2 linked regions of the Cricetulus griseus genome follow. The main gene of each other region encodes a partner of the protein of the gene in region 2 in a complex. Links are inferred from orthologs where the notes say so. Each region holds a gene or a part of one and is shown on either strand. Other genes may lie near its edges.

Region 1 (4,375 bases), on a different chromosome or scaffold from region 2:
GCACAGGGTCTGTGGGTGCCTGAGAGGAGGGAACCGATCCTGGTTAGGATAGGGCTGCTTCTTGTCCACTTGACAGCCTGCAGGCACTGCACCCACTGGCAAGGTTTAGGTCCTGTACATCAGAGGACATGGGTTTGATTCATCTTTGGCTTTGGCATCTCTCTCAGCCATGAGGCTCTTAAAGGAACCTTGTTTTCTTCTTGTGTATAATGCAGATAACATAGAAACCTCTGAGAGTTGGCTTGGATTTGCCTCTGCAGCTGCTAAGCTGAGTGCAAAACAGAACCAGATAGCCGAGGCTCTCCATCTTGGCTCAAAAGCCAGGGCGGGGCTGGGATGGAAGGAGGCCTGAGCTGGGGACTGGGAATCCAGGCAGCACTGGGGTCATTGTGTGTAACAGGAGAGTACACTGGGGTGAAGGGCCTGTCCAGGGCAGGACACAGACCACCCTGGGCCTGGCTGGAAGTCCAGGTGACCACACTTTAAGCTGGTTCAGCTGGAACTTGAGAATCTGGCCTAGGAGCCCAGATTCAAGGCCTTTGGGGGAGGTTCTGGCTCTCTCTTCCGGTCACAAGTTCTTCATTTCCAGAGAGGCTGAGAGTCATTATCAGCAGATGTGACAGAGCTCTGTGTGGAAACGGTTTAGACAAATCATCTCTTGGGCTCTGCTCTCTCTTGCACAAACACAGCCAGCCAGGGTTGACTCTTCCATGACCAGCTGGGGACTGCAGGTCTGGGGGCCCAGGGCCTCCCCCACCTCAGTCCCATCACACTTCATGGTCACGGTCTCGGAGGATAGGCACGTGCTTCATTCACTAGTGCCCAGAGAAAGGTAAGGCCTGAAAGGGATGCTCAGTGGAGACCTGTTGGTATCCTCTGAAAACTGCACCACCTTGGGCTCCACAGCTGGACCACATCTGCAACCTAGGAAGCAACTACCTGTCCATGTTGCAGGATGCAGGAAGCTGAGGCCCTGGTCACTGTGTAACCTGAGTCAGACCTCAGCTTCTCTGCCCCTCTGGCTTCCACACTGAGTGGGAAGAGGATCTCCTAGGCTTTGTATTGTTGGCTGAACTTCTGCCTGCGGAGGAAGCAGCAGGTGGCCAGTGTGGTGAGGATGATGGCAGAGGCCACTGTGAAGGTGAGGATGAGGATGAGGTTGATGTCCTTGAGCCCCCCCTTCTCACAATCCTCTGGACGCACGTGGCTCAGGGACACCTCCTCTTGGGAGCTGAAGCGGCAGACTAGGTCCTGAGTAGCATCCACGTCCACTCGGCCCTGGTGTAACTGAGCTGCCAGCCAGCCGTTGCCGCAGCAGCTGAGTGGGTTGCCCTGCAAATACAGGCGCCGGAGGCTGGTCTCCAGGCCACCCATGGCATTGCCTGGCAAGAGGCTGAAGCTGTTGTTCCGCAGATCCAGCACCTCCAGGGATACAGCCTGTGTCCAGGCAGGCAGGTGGCTGAGGCGGTTCTCAGAAAGGTTAAGGAGCTTGAGACGGCGGAAGCATGGCAAGTCCACCTTCAAGACAGTCAGTCCATTGCCTTGAAGTTTCAGTACCTCCAAGGATGCCTCCAGGCCCACCAAGGCTCCTGTGGCCACATCCAAACCAGGATTGTCAGAGAGGTCCAGCTCCGTAAGTGGGGTGTGGAGAAAGCTGCCTGCCCTGAGCATCTCCATTGAGTTCCCTGCCATGTTCAGAACATGAAGGGTGGGGATCCCAGAGAAGTCCACACAGCCTGGGGGACCTGGTTCTACTCGTCCTCCACAGGGACTGACCTGGTTTCCCCGTAGGTTGAGCCTCTGCAGGCTGGCCAGGCTGGCAAAGGTATAGGGTGGCAGTTCTTGCAGGGCATTGTCCTGCAGAAGCAATGTCTTCAGGGACCCCAGGACTTTGGTGCCCAGTTCCAATGCTTCCAGCACATTGTGGCTCAAGTCCAAAAGCACTAGGCAGGGCAGGGAGCCCACATGTCGGGCCTCAAAGGATCGCAGGCAGTTTCTGCTGAGGTTGAGGAAGCGCAGGGAGGTCAGATGTTCCAGAAAGCTGGCAGGGACCAGCTCAATCTCATTGTAACTCAAATCCAGGTTCAGGAGCTGGGAGAGGGGATTGGCGCTGGCATTCCGGTTGGGGTTGGACAGTAGAGAGGCTGACCAGCCCTCAGAGGGTGCATGGAGGTCCTCACTGTCCTGGGGCAACCCTGCAGGGAGCTGAATGAGGTTGTTGGATATGTTCAGGTAGATGAGTCTTGGGAATGCGGCTAGGTCCGGGAATTGGAGCAGCTTGTTCTCCCTTAGGTCTAGCCATGTCAGCTGGAACTGGGCTTGGGGTTCCGGGGCCGTCTGGAAGGCCTCAATGCTGTTGCAGCTCAGGTCAAGTACCTGCAGCTGCTGGAGGCTGAAGTCCGAGATGCAGGTAAGGGAGTTCCTGGAGAGATTGAGGTGGGTCAGCTGGGGCAGGGCCTCGAAGGCGCCATCCTCAATGTCCATCAGGATGTTGCTGTGGAGGTCCAACTGCTCTAGGGCTGGCATGCCCCAGAAGGTGTGGCGTGCCAGGCGAGTGAGGCTGTTCTCTGCCAGTGAAAGGGTGTGCAGGCTCGGGGCCTCACCCAACAGCTGCTCCACCAGGCTACCATATAGGCTGTTCCCAGACAGGTCCAGGGAGGTCACAAGGGGCAGGCGGCCTAAACCTCCACTGTTCAGTGCCATGCCCATGGCGAGCCGGTTGTGGGCTAGGTTGAGGTGTTCCAGGTGGGGCAGGGCCTGGAAGACTCCTGGCTGGAGGAAGCTTATCTCATTGACACTTAAGTCCAGGTGACGAAGAGCTGCATAAAAGCGCAAGGGAGAGGCCAGGATGCTCTGCAGCCTGTTCCCAGACAAGTAGAGAGCCCGGATGTCCAATGAGAGCACTGAAGGGACCTGAAGGAGACCAAGGCCCTGGCACAAGGCTTCCTTGTTCACCTAGGGAGAGCAAGGGTGGCAAGAAGCTGGCATTAGTAGGGGCATGTGGGTAGAACAGGACAGGATTCTCTAGGAAAGAGAGATGGGGAATGTAATTGGCCCCCATAAGTATATAGGGAGTGGTACTTAGGGTGTGTGGCCTTGTTGGAGGAAGTATGTCACTGTGGAGGAGGGTTTTGAGGTCTCATATGCTCAAGCCATGCCCAGTGTCTCAGACCACTTCCTGTTGCCTTTGAGTTAAGGTATAAAAACTCTCAGCTCCTTCTCCAGCACCACGTATACCTTCATGCTGCCATGCTTCCTCCCATGATGATAATGGACTAAACCTCTGAACTGTAAGCCACCCCAATGAAATGTTTTCCCTCATAAGAGTTGCCATGGTCATAGTGTCTCTTCACAGCAACAGAAACCTTAACTAAGACAGGGGGCTTCCCCACAGACTCCCAGGATGCTAGAGCTTTTTCTCCACTGAGCTGATGACCCCTGGCTTCTCTCTGACTCTTCCTCTGGCAGTCTGGTGGGTGCTGGACAGGAGGGAGGCAGTAGACAGAGAATTAGTAGACAGCTCTAAGAATAAATATGTGCTGATTATTGTCCTGTTATATGGGAAACAAAGCCATGCTACACTTAGAGTAACCCAGAGCCAAGTGACCCATGGCCACAGCTTCGAGGTCCACTTCTAGGTCCTTGACACATCCCAGATAAAGTCACAGCATCAGGCTAGGAGCTTCATCAGGAAAACATGCTTGCAACAGGGAAACTGGCAGGTTTTCCTGCCAGCTGCTTTGATTTGGTTCACCCTCTTTGATCTCATTCCTCTTATGATGTGGGGTGAGCTCTGGACACAATGCTTTCCACAGCTACTACCTACCCCCCACATCAGTAGCCACTTCTGGTGGCCTGCGGTCCATCATGGGGCCAGGTAGTAGGAGGAGAATGAGCAGGAGAAAGGAATACCAGGACCCAACCAGCATTATCTGATGACAATTTAACTGAGTGACCACTAAGTCACATCAACACTCCAGTCCTTACCCTAAAATTAACTTGTCATTCCCAGCACCTACTTCATATACCAGGACTTTCAGACTGGTGACCCTGTCAGATCACCCAGTATAGGGGTGATCCGATATAATTACATATTTTTATTACATATTTTAGTTCAGGTGGGAGAGGGTGAGGGAGTCCTCAGGGTCACCCAGACAGTATGGAGGGAGCTGGGATTTGAACATGGGCCTTTCAGCAACTCTTGTCCTTCCACAAAATGTGTCCTTAGGGGTCATATGCAAATGCACATTTCCATCTGGTCATTCCCAGATTCTCACCATAGGCACTCTAGCCCTCCCTGGCAAATAGTGCAACTTCTATAACCAGCCAGCTTAGTTTTGTCCCTGCCCCCAGCCTGTCTCCATTGACATCCCAC
Region 2 (3,807 bases):
TGCTGGAATTACTGTTTGTGCCACCATTCCCAGCTGAGATACTACACACCTAGTTGTCATGGCCAAAGAACAAACAACAAAAGGCACTGTAGATACAATGATCCTCCATTCACTGAGAGGCAAAATGCCTGTGCTTCCTTACCATGCCAGCCTGACACTGGGTACATCCTGCCAGCCTGGCTCTGTATGCCGATAAACTGTGGGCCATATGAGTCATGGCACACTGGTGGAAGGACCTGATTCCCCCTGTCCTGGAGAGAGCTCCAGGCAGCCCTGGGCCTCAGCCTGGGTACCTGGAGCACACCGGCTTGCAGATGCTTCCTGAGTGACTCCCAGACTACAGGTGTGACTCAGGCTTCATCAATCCACACCATCAGCTGCTCCAACTTGGAGTCTGTTTGCAGCCTGGTTTGAGGCCATGAACTCTTGAGGAGGCTTGTGAACAAAGGCCTCAGCTACTTCCCCTGAGGGAAGGGAGGGGTGGCAGAATTTGCCTACGTGTGAACTGAAGGTTCCAGAGAAAAACAAACCTCAGAGTTGGCAGTGGTGGGGTTTATTATAAAATTATCTTTTCTGATGTCTCAAGGAGGATGGAAAGCATGTTCTACACAAACTTCTCATTGAGTTCCACAGCTGTGGACACAGGCATTCCAAGTGCCCAGGGCTTCAGGAAGATCCAGGTGGAGCTGATCAAAACCAGACAGGCAAACTAAGATGAATTCCCCCTTGCCCCCCCCCTTTTTTCCTGGCCCATGGTAAGTTCTGAGTGGAGAGCTGCCTGAATCAGAGGTGTGTTGCTGCCACCATTGGCTGAGTCCTGTTGATTTTCACAGGTGTTATCCTCCTAAATGGGCCTGGGAAGGGTCTCCAGCCCACCATGTGTCAACTCTGTTGTTGTCCCTCAAGGTCCATGGATGGGAGCTTGAAGACTTGGATGCCTAAGAGTACAGTGGATTATGGAAGTAGGAAAGTCCCGTTGGAGCCTCACCCACAGGGAGCACCGAGGCACGGGTTAGAAACAGTGTGCACAGCACATTTCAAAGGGTGACTACTGCTCAGCTCTGGTACAGGGTCAGGGGCCAAGCTTCCAATTAGTCTCAAGAAGTCAGCAATCTTTGTTGGGTTGGGTTTTGTCGTTGTTGTTTGCTTTTGTTTGCTTGTTTTTTTTCTCTCTATATATACAGCCCTGACTGTCCTGGAACTAATTATGTAGACCAGGCTGGCCTCGAACTCAGAGATCTGTCTGCTTCTGCTTCCAGAGTGCTGGGCTTAAAGGCATGTGCCACCACACCTAGCCCAGCTTTCCGTGAAATCTCCCAAATTTTAAAACAGCAAAAACCCTGCAAAAATGTAAAGGCAGGCAGCTTGTGACCTCTGCCTTCAACCATACTTTCCTCAAACATCAAGGACATGGAAGGGTTCTCCTGCCCCAGGACTCTGGCTGCCAGTATGTAAATGGAGTAACAGTATCACAGCTGATGATGGTGGGGACCAGGAAGAACAGATGGGACCCTATATGTAACCCTCCTACTGCCACCTCCAATACCTTCACCACAACCACCCCCACCTCCATTAACACCTCCTCCTCCAACCACCACCACCACCAACAACAACCACAACCATCCCCACCACCTCAACCACCACCACAAAGCTGTCAGAGCAGGAAGTACCAACATGGTGTCAGGAGACACCAGACTATCATCACTCGGGGGACAAAAGTTCTAATCCAGGCTGGATAAGCTTAGTCGAAGAACTTGATCACTCCGTACCTCAGCTTCCTTATCTGACATAATGAAAACTTATTCTTACAAGATGCATTGAAACCCTCAAAGTTCCCTCAAATACACATGACCCTTAAGACCGCTCTGGGAAGCCTGCAGGCTGGAAGCAGTACTTCAATTTCCAGATGAGGAGTCAAGGTATGTGGGGATGACATCTGGGACATGTGACATTTGATATACCTGTTGTAGAGTTCAATGACACTGGGCTTTTGAAACTCAATTGGTCTACACAGAACCTGCCCTGAGTTTCTTCTTCCACTCTCCCTTCTTCCAACAGCCGGTGATACCTCCTGGATGTCCTGCCTAAAGCCTTAGATGTCATCTGAGAGTGCTCCTGTGTCTTCACACAGCATACCTAATACTAGCCTATTGGCTCAACCTCCAAATTGCAGAATGAATCCGTGTGATTTCCATATTCACTTCGATGCCTCTGTCCAAGCCCCTGCCACCCTCCTCTAGGCTGCTACAATGCTCCCTAAATGTCTTCCTGGCCTTTCCCCTTTACTTCCCAGAAACTGGAGGGCTTCTGTTTAAAGGGGTAAGCCACATCATTGCACCCAAATGCACACCTTGCTAATAGCATTCATCACACTCGGAGTAAGCCCCAAACCTTCCTGTGGTCTGATACATACTTAGCCAGATGGCCTTGGCTCACGGCTTTTCAGTCTGTTCACAGCTGCTACAACAAATCAAGCTAGGTTCCAGCCAGGGGCCTGGGCCCCACTGCGTCTTTTGCTTAAGTCCCCCTTTAGCCTGGCCTCCTGACCTTAAAGGGCTAGCTCCTTCTCATCACTTGGATCACAATATCAGACTCCCTTCCCCATGGAGACCTCCTCGAAGCAGCAGTGTTGGAGCACCCAGCCATCATCCCCTTGATTCTTTAGTTTTCAGTGCGTTATCACAGACTGACATGCCACTTTCTCAATATGTTCACTGCCACCAGAATGTCTGCCACCAGAATGAAAGCCCCATGGGATCTGAGCTCTCACCTGTCTTGTTCACTGCTGAACTTAGAGGGCCTGACTTAGAGCCAGCATTTAATGATGAAGTAGAGAACAGAGCCACTAGCAAAGCTAGACTTTGAATCCAGTTATATGGCTCCACTAGTCCTCTCCTCTTCCCTTTCACGGGGCAAAAGGGACCTGAGGTTCCTTCTGAAATGTTCCTGCTAGGAGTTTACCTACCTCTCCGCAACAGCCACTCACGGACAGTGTCAGTGACATCAAACGACAGCCACTCAGCAGTGCCCCTTGTGGGCAGATTCTTGCCACCAATATAGCGCTGCTTGGCAATGTGCTCATCTGGTCGAAGTATCTGTGAGGCAGAGGAAAGAATGAATGTCTAAGACCAGGCCAGAATACCAGGAATAGGTTATACTGCACAGGACTGGTGAGCCAAGCAGGGGGTGACTAAAGCTTTCTGAACACCATGCCCTTTGTGCACCTCAGGTAACTCAGCACTCTTAATGACAGAGGCTCTGAGGGGTCAGCTTCAGACCAGGTCTGTCAGACCCCACGCTCAGTGGAGGCCAGGAACTGGCTTCCGGTATGTGGTTTCCAGCTGGAAGAGGTACCTGGAAGAGCTCAATTCTCTGCTCAGTGCGCTTGGAGCTGGGGTTGGGCACCCGCAAGACCCGGAACTCTGCCCGGAACAGATTAGTTCCATTTTTCTCCACTGAGGACACGTTGAAGCGAAAAACCTTAGAGGTAATCCCTTTGGGGCAGACAGCCAGTTCATCTAGAGGGAAAAGCAATGGGGAGAGGCACAGTGAGTGAGCGCCCAGTGTGCTGCCAGGAGATACATGCCAAGGGGCCCCAGTCCTGTCTATGACCTCCCCAGAAGCTTGAGGCCAGAGATCTGAAGGTGGAGATGCAAGGAAGATTTCTGGTGATTTCAGAGTCATGCAGAATCCTGAGCAAGGAGACAGTGGAGCTACAGGACATGTAACGGAGACTGGGCAGTCAAGTGTAATTGTCCTCTTTGCCCACTGTCTTTTTTTTTTTTTTTTTAAGGTTTATTTAGTTTA

Evidence for each region.
Region 1: the proteins of Tgfb3 (region 2) and transforming growth factor beta activator LRRC32 are in contact, whole or in part, in a cryo-EM structure (PDB 8VSB), measured with the Homo sapiens proteins. The link is inferred for Cricetulus griseus from reciprocal best matches to the Homo sapiens genes TGFB3 and LRRC32. Residues at the interface, in NP_001316868.1 of Homo sapiens: Leu24, Ser25, Thr26, Cys27, Thr28, Leu30, Pro347, Pro349, Tyr350, Leu351, Arg352, Thr357, His358, Val361, Leu364, Leu368, Ser375; in NP_001122394.1 of Homo sapiens: Ala110, Ser135, Tyr137, Ser160, Val184, Met186, Asp187, Ile188, Asp190, Phe193, Leu202, Leu204, Arg206, Asn207, Ser208, Thr210, Cys211, Ile212, Ser213, Asp214, Phe215, Ser216, Leu217, Cys227, Asn228, Ser229, Lys254.

What each region holds. Positions count from the first base shown.
Region 1 is NC_048596.1:101,068,617-101,072,991, forward strand, and holds the start of transforming growth factor beta activator LRRC32, read right to left. Parts: upstream 2,950-4,375; 5' UTR 2,710-2,949; coding exon 1,051-2,709; 3' UTR 1-1,050.
Region 2 is NC_048598.1:117,735,587-117,739,393, reverse strand, and holds part of Tgfb3 (transforming growth factor beta-3 proprotein), read right to left. Parts: intron 3,519-3,807; coding exon 3,355-3,518; intron 3,096-3,354; coding exon 2,966-3,095; intron 1-2,965. UniProt on the Homo sapiens protein: Transforming growth factor beta-3 proprotein: Precursor of the Latency-associated peptide (LAP) and Transforming growth factor beta-3 (TGF-beta-3) chains, which constitute the regulatory and active subunit of TGF-beta-3, respectively.